Linked DNA regions of Xenopus tropicalis. The protein of the gene in region 2 purifies or fractionates together with the protein of the main gene of each other region. This does not show direct contact. Links are inferred from orthologs where the notes say so. Each region holds a gene or a part of one and is shown on either strand. Other genes may lie near its edges. The genes, in order: sufu and gli2.

Region 1 (3,816 bases), on a different chromosome or scaffold from region 2:
TCTCCATGAATGTAGGCAGCAGGCCTATATTATTACAGAGATGCTGTACCTGCACACTAATAAAGCACACAAAGTAACATTTGTATGAGGGGTTTAGTTGCCCTTTATACATTTTGAACATGCCAGCATGTGTGAGAGCTCGCTTCTTTCAAAGTAAATCCATCTCAGTTGGTGGCCTAATTTTTTTCCCCCCTTCGTCAGTGTTTTTAATAGCGCTAACTACCTCAAACAAATCACAATCTGAAACTAAATACACTTGCGAAAAAAGGGTTTCCATATGTTACCAATTTCTTCCAGGGAGGTCTACCTCCAGCGCAGAGGGAGAAGCGTTCCAGGAGACTAGTGCCCTCTCCGAGACTTTCCAGGGATAAATGGTTCATTTACAAAGACTTTATTGATTCTGTAATTTCACAATTAGAAAAGCTGCCAACATGGACCCACAGATACTTGCACTCGCAGGGAACAGTGTAAACAAAAGAAACCCTACAGGGAGGCTGCCTCTCAGCTTGGAAATAAAGCCGCAGCCCGCAGTGTAACAGATGCAGATCTATCAAGATCAAACTGAAGGAGCAAGACATGAATTAGCAGGCAGCGGAGGGAGGATTACATACACGTACATTTTTTAAAAATGTTACTGAACTCAGTTTTACAATCCAAATATAGACTCGTCCCAAGTCTGTAAATATGGTTTCGCACTGCAGGCTTTACTACAACTAATGGCTGCATTTCTGTTGCTTGACCCACACTGCCCTATCTATCCACTCACATACAGACCCACACTGCCCTATCTATCCACTCACATACAGACCCACACTGCCCTATCTATCCACTCACATACAGACCCACACTGCCCTATCTATATACTCCCATACATAAACCATATATACCAACATCAATACTAACTGTAGATTTTAGTATCACAATTCACAGTATCACAAGTGACCAACTGCAATGCAACAAGACAGACTGCCATGTATGCATATTAGACTGTGGTTTGGTAAGTGCTAGAGCAGGATAAGGAATGCAAAGGCTTCTAGAGAAGATCTGACAGAATGCTGTAAAAAGCAAGATTATTTGTTAATATTGCTGCTGAATGGAAAAGCCATTTGCTGTCAACTAGTAACAAGGATCTGGGCACCAAGGCTACTGATACCATTGACAAGGGGACAAAAAGAGAAAAAGACGTTAAGCAACTAATTACCAAAAACAGAATAATAAAAAAACCCTACAAAAGAAGCACGGAAAGCAGTCAGACTACCAATAAAGCATTCACCATCAGCAAGGGTGCTCATTCAGATAACAACATAAGTAATACTTTACCTCTAAGATGTGAACTCCTAATGGACTATTGGTACCAAAAATACTGTAGGTGGCAATAGGTCAGCTTTTCTATGAAGGTTTTACTTGTGCCCAGTAGCTGGGTAGTATAAAAACATATATACACACACCTGACAGCTTGCCTTAACCTCACCCACCCAATTCAACCACAAGCTGTAATTGCAGTAGCCCAATCTGCTTCTGTAAAAAGTTTTCTATTACGGTGAATCTATGATAGGGGTGCCGAGTGACATACAGGAAAATGTCAGGCTAAAAGTAATAAAGCTTGTAATCATTAGCGTAAAGCTTGTGCTACATAAATAAATGAGTAGTAGTCTGACATTATTACTGGCTCTGGGTGACAGTTTGGTCAAAAAAGCAGCAGCTTCTAAATTCTAAATGAAGCAAAAGACATGAAAATAGTAACTGCATCATAATTGGTCATACAAACAACCTCTTAAAACCGTACAAATACAAAATGAGGATTACTCTGCTTTCAGTGGAGTGTTTTTCAGTCATGTATAATCGTGTATATACACCAGGAACTTTCTGGTGATTCCAAAGGTGAATTATGGTCTATTTTAAGCATTTTGTCCCACCAACCATGGAGCTACATAACGCCATAACATTAAAAGTCAACATCTGCAATTACTCAAATGAGCCAAGCAACTGTAAAATGAAAGAGACTCATATTCTTAGCAACATAGTAAGTTGGGTAGAAACAAAAGACATCTATCAAGTTCAACCATAATGCCTATATATAACCTGCCTAACTGCTAGTTGATCGAGAGGTAGGCAAAAAAATCCACCTGAAGCCTCTCTAATTTGCCAGAGGGGGAAAAAAAATTCCTTCCCGACTACAAGATGGCAATCAGACCAGTCCATGGATCAACTTGTACTAAGAGCTATCTCCCATAACCCTGTATTCCCTCAATAGTATTTCACAAGCATAGATATGGCACATTCAGTCTCCTTTACAGTACGCACAGAGACATCCCATAACCTATGCTAGCATTAGCATTTCATTCTAATAGATGCATTTTATCCCACCTGTACTGTATAATAACCTTTTAAGATACTGACTGGAAATGAAAGAACATGGAAATAAAAACACTGGGTGCTAAAGTTAATAAATGAACTTCTGTACTGTTCACCTATTATGCATTAAGAAAACAATGTTTTGCTTGTCAGTTTAAATTGCAAGCTCTTTTGGGAAGGGACTTCTTTACCCTTTGTATTGGTTGTTTTTGTATGTTAAATGTATATACTAATTTACTGCACAGAGCTATGGCTTATGTTGGTATTTTAGAAATACATTATAAATAATAATTATTAAGTAAATACAGGGCAATCACTGAGAGTTAGTTATTGCTAAAAAAAAGCACTGAACCATTTTTATATAGCCTTTAAAAATGTGCAGGGAACTATAATACTAGGATCAATGGATACATTTAAACAGTAGAATTAAACTGGCAATTCCCATGCATATTAATAAACCTCAACATGCAGATAAATGTATTTTCTAATAATATACTTTTTAGTACAAAATTTATGAGGCAAGGTATATTGCAAAAGCTCCCCACCTTACAATATTTAAAAGGTATACATGCAGATAATCTATATGTTGTGAGAACTTACTCATGGACTCTGTTGTCACCATACAAATCACTCAGGCCAAAGCTGACATAATGCCAATGTTCAGGGACGTCAAGTGCTGGATTGCCAAGACTCCTGTACATGCTCACATAATCTAGGGGGTCTGGTCCACCCAGCCTGAAAATAGACAAATCAAGAGTTACTAACATGACAGCTTTTAGTCGCAATAAAATTAAAAGCTTGTAAAACGGAACACAAACATTTTAAACATGCACAGTAACATTTAGAGGCTGAAATCACACTACTTAAGGGTGAAGACACCCATGGAACTACTTAGTAGCAGAAACTTGTCACGGCTACTAATAAACAGAAAATACCCTGCCATAGACAATACTGAGAATTGCCTCTGCTAAAACACACGTCAAGACAGTTATTAGTAAATGATCAGCATTGTCTATTTTAGTAGCCGTGACAAGCAGCTGCTGCTAGTAGCTCTGTGTGTCTTCACCCTAAAGCTGCATTTGCTAGGCTGCTTTGACTTCTGCTGTGCTACAATTTACAGAAAATCATGGCAGCCTTCAGCTTACTAAACATTCCTTCTATGCATATTTACATTTTTTGTATGAACAGGTTTGGACTGGGATGAAAAAATTGACCCTGGCATTTCATGTACACAGAGGCCCAAAGAGCCCCCACAAGCCCAATAAACAGTAACTGGCATCTTACAGCAGCCGCTCAGATTGGCAGTCTGGGCCTGTGTATAGGTGGCCATACAAGGGAAGATTTTGTCACGTGAAGCAACTGATTTTATTGTTACATTAAAGCGTACAAAAAGATCATATAATTTACAATTGTTCCGACCACATCATTCCAACAATCGATTGGATAGATTTAAAAATTCAA
Region 2 (4,434 bases):
AAGTTGAGCCCTAAGTTGTTGGCAGGTGGGCTAGCACTCTTTCCAAATCTTCCTCAGGTCCCTGCCACAATATTAAACTCTCATCTTGTCCAAATATTCACAAAATAAACATTTTACAGTTCCCTATTGTTTCAGTAGAGGAGATTGGGGGGGTCTGTGTGGTTTGGGGGTAACTGATGTCTAAGGGTTAAAAGGCTGCAGTCACTTCAGGGCACCAATGTGCCCCGGGCAAAGATCTCATTGGTGGAACCCCATCAGGGGAATTGGAATATAAAGAAGGGGGGCTTATACAGTCGATGTTGGGGCTCAGTGACAGCAGTGTCTGTATTTTATTTCTGCATTTCGTTTGGGGGCTCCCACTGCCCTCAGTCACCTGTAATCCACTTCGAAAACAAGCATCTGATTGGTTGCTATGGGTTACTAGACTTGGTGCAAACCCTGAGACTTACATTGACCCAGGGGGGTATTGGAGCTTTGATGTGCTGGCAGGCAGGGGGCGCCGCTACCCGCACACATTCCGCCAGAAGACAGACCCCCCCCCACAAGCAGTGTAGGAGAAGCCCCCCCACTGGCACTCTGCAGAACACAGAGAAGGTCGGCCTGGGGGAGCAGGAGAGGAAAGTGAGGGGATTGGGGGTACCTGGGCCCTTCCCCATCTGCAGAATTAACCCATTCTCCTCAGCCCAGGATGTTACCCCCACCCAGCAAAGTCCCCTCTAATCTGCCCTCTGGGGGGGGCTATGTTGCCATAGGGGCCCAAGAGTTACATTTGGACTGTGCCCCCCTATTTCCAAAGATGAGTTTCTTACATTCATTACAAGATCCGCTCGTTAGCCGATAGGCAGATATCAGGCCGCTGACAGTGGGGGGGGGGGGGGTACAGAATGTTGGGGTGAGGGCTCCCCCAATGAGCCGACCCGTTCTGGATCCAACAGGAAAATCAAACCTGCCCAATCGACTACTGGCCAATGTTTGGGCCATTTCTCAGTTGGGTGGGCCCATTAGTGCCCCCCATACAGGGGCAGATAAAGCTGCCAGGGGGGGCCACACCTTACCCGTATCTAACCGAGCCCCCCTATCTGCCTTAATGTAACCCCTTCTGTTCCTGAGGCTGCAACAGCGGACTAACTGGGCTGCCCCCCATTTCCTACCAATACCCCATTATTTGACCCCCCCCTCCTGTTAAGGCTTTCCTATTCCACAAACAGGTAACATGCCCCCCCCCCCCCCCCCGTACAGAGCCCCCCAACAGTTTAACCCCTTCTGTCCCAACCTTTTTTCAGTTCCCATTAGTTCAAAACTTCTGTTCCCCTGGGGAGTCCCCCCCCCCTATGACTTAACCCCTTCTGTTCCACAGGGCTGAACAAGCACCGATTGCTCCCAAAGTTTAACCCCTTCCGTTCCGCATGGCTGAATACTTCCCCCCCCCCCCCCCATCTGCAGAGCCCCCGTTAATTTAACCCCTGCTGAAAAGCATTGAAGTTGCTGAAAGCCCCCCCTCTCCCCTTCCCATCTGGAGCAGCAAATGGTTTAAGTCAGAGAGGGGGGAGGATTGGGGGGGGGAGGGGGGAGGAGGAGGAGGGGGGGGGGTGAGATTGAAAACAGATCAGTCCGGGGCTGAAGCGATGGGCTCAGATCATCTGACTCCACTCAGCGGCGCAGAGACAGAGGGGACAGGGAATCCCGAACTTTCCTGCAAACTGCCCCCCGGAACCCCCTGCCCCCCGGACTCTCCCCCGACTCCGCGACCCCCAAACCCCGGAGTGTGCGCCCCCCTCACTTCCCACCATGGGTCCCCGAAAGTGACACCGACCCCCCCAAAGATGGATATAAAGTCGGAGTAAGAGCGCAGAGGACCCCGATATGGAGCACCCCCAAAACTAAACTGCCTCCATCACTTGGCACCAGTGAGTGAGAAGCCCCCACAGCCTGATTGGAACTGCCCCCCCATACCCAGAGGTAAGTGCTCTGTGAGACTTGGGGGTTCTACATGCAGAAATGGAAACGTTAGCACTGAGCCCTACCCCGGGTTATTGCCCCTCGGTGGGGCATTAGCGCTGGATCTTTCCAGGGGCGCATTCCCTTACTGGGATTGGCACTAGAAACGCGTTGACATCTGGGGACCCCCCCCCCCATATTCCCTTTCACATTTGGAGCTTGGCCTTTTACCCCAGTCTCAGACTCACGGGTAAGAGTTGCCCAGTTGCCCCAGAGAAAGTGGCACTGAGTTTGTGGGTATCGACTGCCACATGTGCCAAAGTGAAGTTTTTGTGCAGCCTGGGGGGCTGTTGTGTTTATTTTGGGGGGGTAGATCTGCTAAATAAGGAACATGTAGAATTGCTGGGGGGGGGGAAGTTGGGGCAATTACAGCCCCCCAGCTGGTACAGGGCTGTAGTAGGTTACTGTAGGTTAAACACCAGTCACAGGGCTACAGTTGCCCACTCCGGGGGTAGGGGTCGGGGGGGCGATGCCAGCTGTGCCCAGTTGGTCGTTTGCATTGGGCAGAGGGCTGGGTGTCAGCCCACAAGCTCAGACTGATTGCAGACTGCTGGGAAATTGCTTTGATAGCTGGGAAGTCACACAGGGTGAGAAGGAATGGGGGGTGGGGGGGGGCAGCTTCCTATCAGATTATTAGTTGCACACCCATTAACCCTTTGTTGGGGCTTCATAACAAATGCATTGTGGGTGTTTAGAACATGAGGGGCGTTTTGACTTGTTTGGTTTAAGTTCCCCTTTAGGGTCAAATTCTCCTCCCAGTTATATCAACCTAATATCTGGGGCCCCATAGAACTGACTGGGGGGGGGCTGTATATATATATATATTGTGCTACTTGTATACCACAAGCCCATTCATTGGCAGAGACAAGGGATATTATGAGACACGAGTCCCTGAGCCACAGAGCTGACAGTCTAAGTGGGTTTGTAACTTACAGACACAGAATCTTCTATGCCAGCCCCCCGGGGTATCACTACAGACCCCCGGGGTATCACGACAGACCCCCGGGGTATCACTACAGACCCCCGGGGTATCTCTACAGACCCCCGGGGTATCACTACAGACCCCCGGGGTATATCTACAGACCCCCGGGGTATCACTACAGACCCCCGGGGTATCTCTACAGACCCCCGGGGTATCACTACAGACCCCCGGGGTATCTCTACAGACCCCCGGGGTATCACTACAGACCCCCGGGGTATCACTACAGACCCCCGGGGTATCTCTACAGACCCCCGGGGTATATCTACAGACCCCCGGGGTATCTCCAGGCTTCATGGTGCAAGTGGGGGTCCGGTGGTTCTGTGATTCAGAGATAATCTGGGCCGTTTCCCATGAGTCTTTGGGGGTCGTCTCATTAACATGTGTCTGAGTTCAAAGGCTCCGGGGGGGGTGATAAGAAAGTGTCACTCGCACTTAGAACCGACCCTGAGATCAAAGCGACCCAACTGTGCGGGGGGGGGGGGGGGTCCGGGGTTCAACTCCCAGCGCCTTGAGTCTAAAATTCTTTACTGATGTCCAGAACCAATCATCTTGCCCCAAAAGGCTCCTCAAACTGAAGTGTTTTGCCCCCCCCCAAAAAACCCCAATGTTTTCCATTCTTCCGCCCCTCCGCACGTCTCTCCAAGTAAGGTCATAGCAATAACCCAAGCCCGCCCCCCAAAAATCTGCCCCTGATCCTTATATAAAGGTGGCCTTGCCCCCCAGACTTTGGGGGGGGTAAGTAGGGGGGAGCAGTGGTTATATGGGGGGGACCCATTTGCACCCCCATAGGTTTATATAAAGTCTGTATAATCTGCAGTGTAAAAGGGAAATTGGGATCCCCAAATCCTGGACTGGACTGGAATTGGGTCAGAAGCTTAGCATTTGCCCATAAAGTGAGTGTAAGCTCTTGTGCTCAGGGTTGGATTCAGGGGGCAGAAAATGATGGATTTGGTGCCGTCTGGTTCCGTGCGGATCAGTAAATGGGGGGGGGGGCTGAGTCACTGGGATTTCTCTGCGCTGAATCATTTCTGGGTTCTACAGACCCGCCCCAATGCATTCTGGGACCTGGGGGGTTCCACATTGTCACACAATCACCCCCAAAATATAAATGTTAAATGGAATGTGAGCAGATGTAGTGGGGTGATTCTGATGGGCCCCTGGGACAGTGGCCCCTAGTGCTGGGGTGGGTAAGAATGAGACCTGGGGGTTCCAGTTATGATGATGAGTTGTGTAGTTCAACGCGGTCCCGGGTCGGGCCAATCACACTGTGCCCCTAGGGTACCAACGTGCCAGTGGGAAGGGTTGTTCAACCTTGGGTTGAAGAGCTTACACTCTGTTCCCCCTGCATGGAAACCAGGCCTGCTTTAGAATTGGAACCAGTTACCCCTGGTTGGCGCTGGGTAAACAAATGATGCTGATGGTGGCGCCGCTGGGCACATACCCTATTGGCCTAG

The links.
Region 1: the proteins of gli2 (region 2) and sufu purify together in Homo sapiens (affinity purification with mass spectrometry; 3 studies listed by BioGRID and IntAct, with this or other methods). This does not show direct contact. The link is inferred for Xenopus tropicalis from reciprocal best matches to the Homo sapiens genes GLI2 and SUFU.

Annotation. Positions count from the first base shown.
Region 1 is NC_030683.2:29,292,729-29,296,544, forward strand, and holds part of sufu (suppressor of fused homolog), read right to left. Parts: intron 3,091-3,816; coding exon 2,956-3,090; intron 1-2,955. UniProt on the Homo sapiens protein: Negative regulator in the hedgehog/smoothened signaling pathway. Down-regulates GLI1-mediated transactivation of target genes. Down-regulates GLI2-mediated transactivation of target genes. Part of a corepressor complex that acts on DNA-bound GLI1.
Region 2 is NC_030685.2:89,201,182-89,205,615, forward strand, and holds the start of gli2 (zinc finger protein GLI2), read left to right. Parts: upstream 1-1,614; 5' UTR 1,615-1,959; intron 1,960-4,434. UniProt on the Homo sapiens protein: Functions as a transcription regulator in the hedgehog (Hh) pathway. Functions as a transcriptional activator. May also function as transcriptional repressor. Requires STK36 for full transcriptional activator activity.